Linked DNA regions of Canis lupus familiaris. Each later gene encodes a partner of the first gene's protein in a complex. Links are inferred from orthologs where the notes say so. Each region holds a gene or a part of one and is shown in the gene's direction. Other genes may lie near its edges. The genes, in order: PRMT5 and WDR77.

What was found.
Region 2: PRMT5 (region 1) and WDR77 share a complex: the UniProt entries of both Homo sapiens proteins name them as parts of the methylosome complex. The link is inferred for Canis lupus familiaris from reciprocal best matches to the Homo sapiens genes PRMT5 and WDR77.

The regions. Positions count from the first base shown.
Region 1 is NC_049229.1:3,377,484-3,382,092, reverse strand, and holds the start of PRMT5 (protein arginine N-methyltransferase 5), read left to right. Parts: upstream 1-1,639; 5' UTR 1,640-1,771; coding exon 1,772-1,881; exon of another isoform or gene 1,882-1,908; coding exon of another isoform or gene 1,909-1,967; intron 1,968-2,563; coding exon 2,564-2,682; intron 2,683-2,962; coding exon 2,963-3,078; intron 3,079-3,242; coding exon 3,243-3,377; intron 3,378-3,763; coding exon 3,764-3,876; intron 3,877-4,040; coding exon 4,041-4,090; intron 4,091-4,609. UniProt on the Homo sapiens protein: Arginine methyltransferase that can both catalyze the formation of omega-N monomethylarginine (MMA) and symmetrical dimethylarginine (sDMA), with a preference for the formation of MMA.
Region 2 is NC_049227.1:41,102,346-41,105,709, forward strand, and holds the end of WDR77 (methylosome protein 50), read left to right. Parts: intron 1-522; coding exon 523-631; intron 632-1,170; coding exon 1,171-1,239; intron 1,240-1,792; coding exon 1,793-1,952; 3' UTR 1,953-2,555; downstream 2,556-3,364. UniProt on the Homo sapiens protein: Non-catalytic component of the methylosome complex, composed of PRMT5, WDR77 and CLNS1A, which modifies specific arginines to dimethylarginines in several spliceosomal Sm proteins and histones.

The DNA.
Region 1 (4,609 bases):
ATGTTAATAACAGGGTAGCCCTGGTGGCTCAGCAGTTTACCGCGGTCAGCCCAGGGCATGATCCTGGAGACCTCGGATCGAGTCCCACGTCGGGCTCCCTGCACGGAGCCTGCTTCCCTCTGCCTGTGTCTCTGCCTCTCTGTGTCTCTCATGAATAAATACATAAAATCTTAAAAAAAAAAAAAAAGATGTTAATAACAGAGAAACCTGTGGGGAGGCAGATGGAAACTCCGCATTCTACCTGCAGTTTTTCTGTAAATCTAAAACTGTTTTAAGAAATAAAGTCTAGTAATAATAGTTGTTGTTGTAGTAATATCTGCAAAAATCAACTGAAGATTAAGATGAGACAACCCCATTAGGCTTCATAAGCATTTTCTTCGTTGTTTGGCTTTTTGGACTTTCATCCTTCTGGAGCTCTTACATTGCACCCAGGGCTCTTATCCTATCCACACCGTTTCCGTGTTTCCAAGGACCTTGTCCCTGACTGGCCCGGATGATCTCATTCAGTCTAGGTCACTCTTTACTTCGAGGTCGCTACCTCTCTTCTGGCCATTTCCAAATCTCATCAGGTCATAACACTGTTCATCCAACTCTCTATTACACAGCGCCCCCTAGGCGTCCAATTAATTCAGCATTTGCAAGCCGAACTGATTGTCCCTTAACCCACTTTTCTTTCTTGTTTCACTCACAGAGAGGCCAGAACCGAGACTCCTCTTTCTTGTGGCTCCCTGCCTAGCAGCCCCTCAGTTCTGTCAATGCCGCTTTCTTCGGGCCTTCTGTAATGTGTTCTCTTTCGATCCCCGCTGCCAGGCCCTCAACACCTCTGGGCTGCCTGCTTCCAGGTATTCCCTTTCTCTCCGTGTTTTTCCTTGCTTCATTCCTCTCCTTCCGTTCCACGCCTCTACAAGAATGTAGATATGTTTTCCCAGCCCTCCTCCAGGCAGTTCATGACTCCTCACCATGAGTGTTGTGTGTGCGCGCGCGCGCGTGTGTACCTTTTGTGTCTGAGATATAGAACCTGAGGAATTAGTGGCTTAGTTGTCATAATCTATTTGTAAATACACTAAGGTCCATACAAAGCCCATTTTAAGAGCAGCAGCCATTAACTCAGTTCTCTCAGTTTAGACGGACCCGAGCAGTGACACAAGAACCATCTCTGAATTAGGTAACAGGAAAAGCCGACATAAGATGGCTGCAGAACTCAACCAAAATAAGACTTGAAAAATGAAGGTGTGAAAAGTTACGAAGCAAACTTCCCAAAGTGTAAGGAAAGGGGTAGACCTAAAAGACGCTATCTAAGGCCATGTTGCGTGAGGTGCAATAAGGAAACCACCGGTCTCACTCGAGCCAGCCAGGAGTCGAACCTGGAATCTTCTGATCCGTAGTCAGACGCGTTATCCATTGCGCCACTGGCCCGGAGACAATTGCTCTCGGCTCAGTGATGATAGTTCAAGCTTATGCTGCAGGGTTTCATGGGACGCGTAGTCCCCCAACGGAGTTCTACGAACACAGGCGCATCATGGGAGATTGAAGTTCGTCGAAAACTACATCCCGAGATTGGTGGATCTTACGGAGCCACGTCGTACGTCACGGGCGCAGCCAGCGGATTGGCGGAAAGAGCCACTCCCCACCCCTCGGCCTCCCGCTCTGGAGCAGTGGCAGACGCTCTGGTTGTTAGGACGACTCATTCCGCCTTCCGGGGGCTTTTTTCTGGCTTTGTGATTGGCTGCTAATATCAAGGCATCCCGGCGTGGACGGCGCGAGGGAAAAGATGGCGGCGATGGCGGTCGGAGGTGCCGGTGGGAGCCGCGTGTCCAGCGGGAGGGACCTGAACTGCGTGCCCGAAATAGCTGACACTTTGGGGGCTGTGGCCAAGCAGGGGTGAGGGTCCAGACCTCCGCAAGCGGAATGCGGGCTCCGAACTCGGGGACGAAGAGGGACAGACTAGTCATCCCCGAAAGGCAGGGGTGAGGGGGTCGGAGTGGGTAAGATTAGGGCGGGAGAAACCATTACTCCTTGGGGGAGGATGGGGAAGCCTTAGGCCCTGGAGCGTGAAACAAACAAACAAACAAACAAAGAAAAACAAACAAAAAAACTTGCTGGGGCGTGTGGCCACTGAGCCCCAAAGTCAGGGGAGTTGTCAGGTAAACTCAAAAAGAGGACTACAGACCTCCAGGGCCCTGGAGAGCGGGATTATAGTCTGAGAATGGGAGAGAGTGTTAGGGGCTAGGGAGAGAAGAGAAACCTTGGGGGGAAGCATGGGCGGTACTGAGGCAAATCTGGATGTGACAGTCTTGGAAAACCGGTGACAACAGAGTAGAAAAGCCACTTGGCGTGGATTTTTATCTTTTTTCCTTTTCCATGCTTGTGTTTTGGGGAGAAACTGAGGCACAGTGCAGCGGAAGTAACATGCCCCAAGGCAGGCTGAACTCAGCAGTCCAGTCGGGTGACTGATGGCAGCAGAAAGGGTTGTGCAGAATTGAGATAGCCTAATCCAGTTGCTTGGATCTCTGGGCACTGCTGCTCTCTTTACATGACGATTCTGGGTCTGTCGCGGTTGTAGGTTTGATTTCCTCTGCATGCCTGTCTTCCACCCGCGTTTCAAGAGGGAGTTCACTCAGGAACCTGCTAAGAATCGGCCGGGCCCCCAGACACGATCAGACCTACTGCTGTCAGGAAGGGGTAGGGACCATCCCATATGCCCCTTAATTATTAGAGGCAATAACAACTTCTGCTTTAACAGTGCCCTCATTCTCCTCCTTTCCTGACTTGGATATATTGGTTAGTCCTGGGACATAGATAACTCTTGTTTTCTCCTTGCTTACCTGCTAAAAAGCCTTACTCTATTCTGCATCAGGCTATCCCACATCTGTGATAGAAAAAGTCTTTGTTTCTCATCTCTACTCTCTATTCCCTGTTAAGAATTAGAAATTGAACAAGTAAAGCACTGAACCTCATATAGTTTTGTCTTTCTTGGATGGGGGGAGTGCAGACTGGAATACGCTAATTGTGGGAAAGCTTTCTCCATGGATTCGTCCAGACTCAAAAGTGGAGAAGATCCGCAGGAACTCTGAGGCGGTAAGACTGTTTGACTTCACTGGCTCTTTCTAGAGATCAGGTCCATAACCTAGCTGGGTGCAGAGAGCAGTTTTTTTCCTCCCATAACTTAGTAAATCTAATATAATGCAATTAAACCTATTTGGGTTGCTAACTCTTCATGTCTTCTTGATCTCCATTTCCAGGCAATGTTACAGGAGCTGAATTTTGGGGCATATTTGGGTCTTCCAGCTTTCCTGTTGCCCCTAAATCAGGAAGATAACACAAACTTGGCCAGGGTTTTGACCAACCACATCCACACTGGCCACCACTCGTCCATGGTATGGCTTGAGGGCTTCTTTTTCTGCTGAATATTATGGTAGTCAAGCTGTGCTAGGTACCTTCTTGTTCCTAGCCATTCAGTAAACGGTGCAGTTGGCAGAACTGAAATGTCAGTACTGGCCACCACCATCTAAAAGTGGTAAGCAGAGGGTTAGAAAACATAGAATGTACAATTATTTCTAGAAACTTATGGCTGCAATAAAGGACAGGGCAGATATTTACATATGGATATACACAAGATAAGTTTATATGTACATATAATCAGAACTTGGGAAAAACATATAAAAGGGTTAACTTGCAATCTGGATCAAGATAATTGAAGGAAGCTTTCTGGACCCAATGAGTTCAAAATAGAGTTCTAAATAGGGTACTTGTTCACATGCAGTTCTGGATGCGGGTACCCTTGGTGGCTCCAGAGGACCTGAGAGATGATATAATTGAGAATGCACCAAGTACACATACAGAGGAGTATAGTGGAGAGGAGAAGACATGGATGTGGTATGTCTCCTTTTGCTGCTATACAGGGCAAAGGGTACGGGGAGGGGAAGTATAGGGTAGAGCCTGTTGTGTGTGTGGGGGTCTTCTCTAGCTATGGCGATTGGTGGGCATATGTATTTGACTGTTTTTTTTTTTTTTTTCTTCCTGTATTTCACCCTGAACAGGTGGCACAACTTCAGGACCTTGTGTGACTATAGCAAGAGGATTGCAGTGGGTAAGTCTACAAGGGCCCTGGGATAGGTTTCCCTTCTCTGACCTCCTGTGAATAAGAATCAGGGGTTTCAGAGATGCCAGATGAAGTGTGTGCATTTTTGATAACGGTGTACTTCTGGTGACTTTACAGTTTGAGATATTACTTTATCAATTTTTATAAAAATGCAGAATTTTATTTTTTAAAAAAGCTATGTTGTTAGCACACAGAACACTTGTTGTTTTGGGGCAAGGGCATATGTCACTAATAGAATATCTCCAAAGCTAGATTGATACTGGGAGGGATGGCGGGGAGCACCCTTCTAGTTTTGAAAAACTTCCTCTTGGTTCCCAGGAGGAGGGATTCCTTGATATTGACAAAACATTAGGCACTTTGGCATAGATGCCTTAGAAAAAATAAAATTCATTTTTTACGTCCTCTTCTTCCTCTCCACCTTCAACATGGACTTGACTCCCTTAAACCCAGAGACCTGTTGGAACCTGACCCCAAAACATGGTTGCCAGTATATCAGGCAATATGGAC
Region 2 (3,364 bases), on another chromosome or scaffold:
AGCACGCTGACCCTGTAAAGCACAAAGCCCTGGCCGCTCAGTCTCACCAGCACACCTGAGCATTATGTAAATTCTGCCAGTGGTGAGGTGGGAAGGTGGAATGATCCAAAAGTGATTTTAGTTTGACTTTGCAAAATGTGATGACTTTTTTCCTGGTAGATTTGATTCCTGAGTATGTGCTTCAGCTCCTATGTTTTGGGTGCAGCCAGAAGTCAGTGGATCACAACAGAACAAGTGGATTGCTACGTAGAGAATTCTGTTGTAGAGTGGGGGTAGCTCTCATGCTCTCACAGCGATGAGGCTGTACCTGTGATGACATAGTTTGTGGTTAAAATAATAACTACCTCGTTCATTAATTTTCACAACCACCAGTGACTAATTATCCCCACTTTGCAAAAGAAGAAACTGATGCACAGAGTGGTTAGCTTGTGTAAGGCTGAGGGACTAACATTCAAATCCAGGTCTGGCTGACTCCAGGGCCCATGCTCTTACCCACTGTGATGGGCTCCCTGCTTTCTCTAGGTGATGAGAGTGGGACCGTCTCCCTGGTGGACACCAAGAGTGCAAGTTGTGCCCTCAGCTCAGCCGTGAACTCCCAGTGTGTCACTGGGCTGGTGTTCTCCCCACACAGGTACTGTCCTTTGTCCCCAGGGGCCTGCTGGGTATGAATGGGACAGTGCAGGGGGATGCTTATGTTTGCAGAGCATTAGCCAATTAGGTCATTCCTTAAAGCAGACAGTGACCTAGCTGAGGTTTCAGAATGCTAAAGATCTCTTAAGACCATAGTCTTTTTTTGGGTGATGTAGTGTCTGTCTTCACATGGCTGAAAGCTGGTCTTGTTCCTGCTCAGCACCCAAAATGATGAATATTGTGAGCTTCTGAGACTGTTGGGTGGGAAAACTGTGTTTTTGGATTATTGCTAAAGCTGCAGGGAGGGACCAGATGGGATAGTTAGTTGCCAGGATAATTGTAAACTTGGCTTGTTCCATTTCCCTCATCTTTCCCAGGAACTTGTAACGTGGAGTTGAGTGGTAGCCAGACCTTAACCCAAAGTGAGGATCAAGCCACCTCCCCTGGGTCCCGTTAGGGTGGGGGCTGAGAACTAGACTGGGCAGGATTCATCTTGGAACCATGGCTTTACCTGTCATAACCCTCCCCTTGCTCTCCTAGTGTTCCCTTCCTGGCCGCTGTCAGTGAGGACTGCTCACTCGCTGTGCTGGACTGTGGCCTTTCTGAGGTGTAAGTCATCAGGAATCGGGGAGAAGAGCTGTGGTTGACTGGGTCCTTTCTGTTTTCATTAAAGTGCACCGAGTACGCTGTCTCACTCAAGGGGACTAGGTAATGGCAACCGGCTGACACGACTGTCTCCCTCTTCCTGGGGCTGACTCACAGCCAGTTCCATCCCTGGTCAAGGAGGGGTGTGGTGGCAGCTGTCCCCCAGAAAGGGGCAGTCTGCACTCTTCACATACAAGGCACGTACATGAAATGGGCCTGCTGTGGGGTGAAAGGCAGCAGAGTACTGGAATTATACTTTCTTCTTTGCCAGGAGTTACTTTCTGATCCTGGCCCATGTTACTACCTTTCTTTAGCCACCACTTTTATATGGAATTAGGGCGCAGGATCGAGTGAGAGATGAGGTTCTCTATGGATAACCACATTGCCACGCATATGGTGAAGTTTATGTAACACATCCAGAAAGGTGTCCTGGTTGTGTTGGATTCTCTCTCTTCTCCACCTTTGCATTTTCCTCTTGTCTCTCACCATGCCCAAACTTTCCTTTTTTCTTTTTTAGGTTTAGAAGCCGAGCCCACAGAGACTTTGTGAGAGATGCTACGTGGTCCCCGCTCAATCACTCCCTCCTTACCACAGTAGGCTGGGATCATCAGGTCATCCACCACATCCTGCCCACAGAGCCTCTCCCAGCCCTTGGACCTAAGAGTGTTGCCGAGTAGATTGGATTTAAGACAAAAAGCGAATCCCCCATGAGTATCCCTTTGCCCCTGCCCTCTCAGCCTGTGAGACCACACAGGAGCCTTACAGTATGCTCTACACCAGATCTGGGCAGTTAATAGGCATTGTCTCTTGGCCTGAGGGACGCTGGATTCTGGGATCCTGTAGTCATAGGGAAGACCAGCGTTCTTAAAATTGGATATGTAGGTGTGTCTGAGTGTGTGTCTGTAGATACATAGTTATTGGCGGTGGGAGGAATTAAGTCCATCTTAACGTCTTTCCAAGTTCTCCCCCCACCAAAAAAAAAAAAAAAAAAAAAACCCACAAAGTTCACAAAAGGGTTTTATGCTTCCTATGTAGCTGTGCATGAGGAAGTGGCCATGACTAGATGAGGTATGGGATGTGGGGCATCCCTGGATTCTTGGAAGCAGCTTATATACTACTCATGGAGATGGGAGCAACTTTATTTTTTATAGAACTTAGTCTGCCTTTTTCATGGCAGTGCTTCATTCACAAAAATCCTGCCCAGCTCATCTCAAGGAAGAGCCAGGACACTCATCATAGTTTTGCACATCTCTTTGCCATTAAACGGAGTAAAAAATGCATTTTCTGGCTGTATAAAATTTTGGCTGGTGCCTATATTATGCTCCCCCCTGCCCCCCCCCCCACCTCCAACCCCGGCCCATGGAATTGTATATGTGAAAGATGAATGTTTTCCTATCATAGATCCCATGGAAAAAAGTTGGGATGATGGAGAGCTTAAAGGCATTTCAGTTAAGTTAAAAACTGACACAGACTTGGAGAAAAATGTCTGCCATGATTCCCACTGAAAAACAGCTTGAGGCCTGACCTCTCCTGGCCTCTGGATCCCATTCTCTGGACATAGGAGGTCTGAATGCTGTTTTTGTGGACTCTGAAGATTTTAAAGTGCAGCATCAGAAAATCAGAAATACCAGTTGGTGAAATAAAAAGTGTTGGCTTCGTTGGCCTGTCTTTGGAAGTTAGACATATCACTATATGAAGCATCAGGATATCATGACCCAGGATTTGTGTGTGTGCTTCCCTAGCCCCTTAAGAGTAGCTAGTTGGAATTTAAATATTGGGTTACTTGGGTTGGTGGACTGGCTACTGCCAGAAGTCCTGGTTAATTACTGATTATGAAACTAAATATAATCAGTTATGTACTTTGGTGCTTTGCAAGTTTAGCTCAGCTACAGTTGCATGAAACGGGGCAGTTTGAAGGAATACGGACAGAATATTTTAAGTAAAGCTTCCATGCTTCACCCTTGCCAAACATAAGGTCTGTTGTCACAGTGACCCCAAGTAAAAACATTGGGATTTGTAGTCATGTGGTCACTAGGTTTGGGGTAAGATGGGAAGAAAGCCTTCACTATTCTTAACAATAACTTCTTGG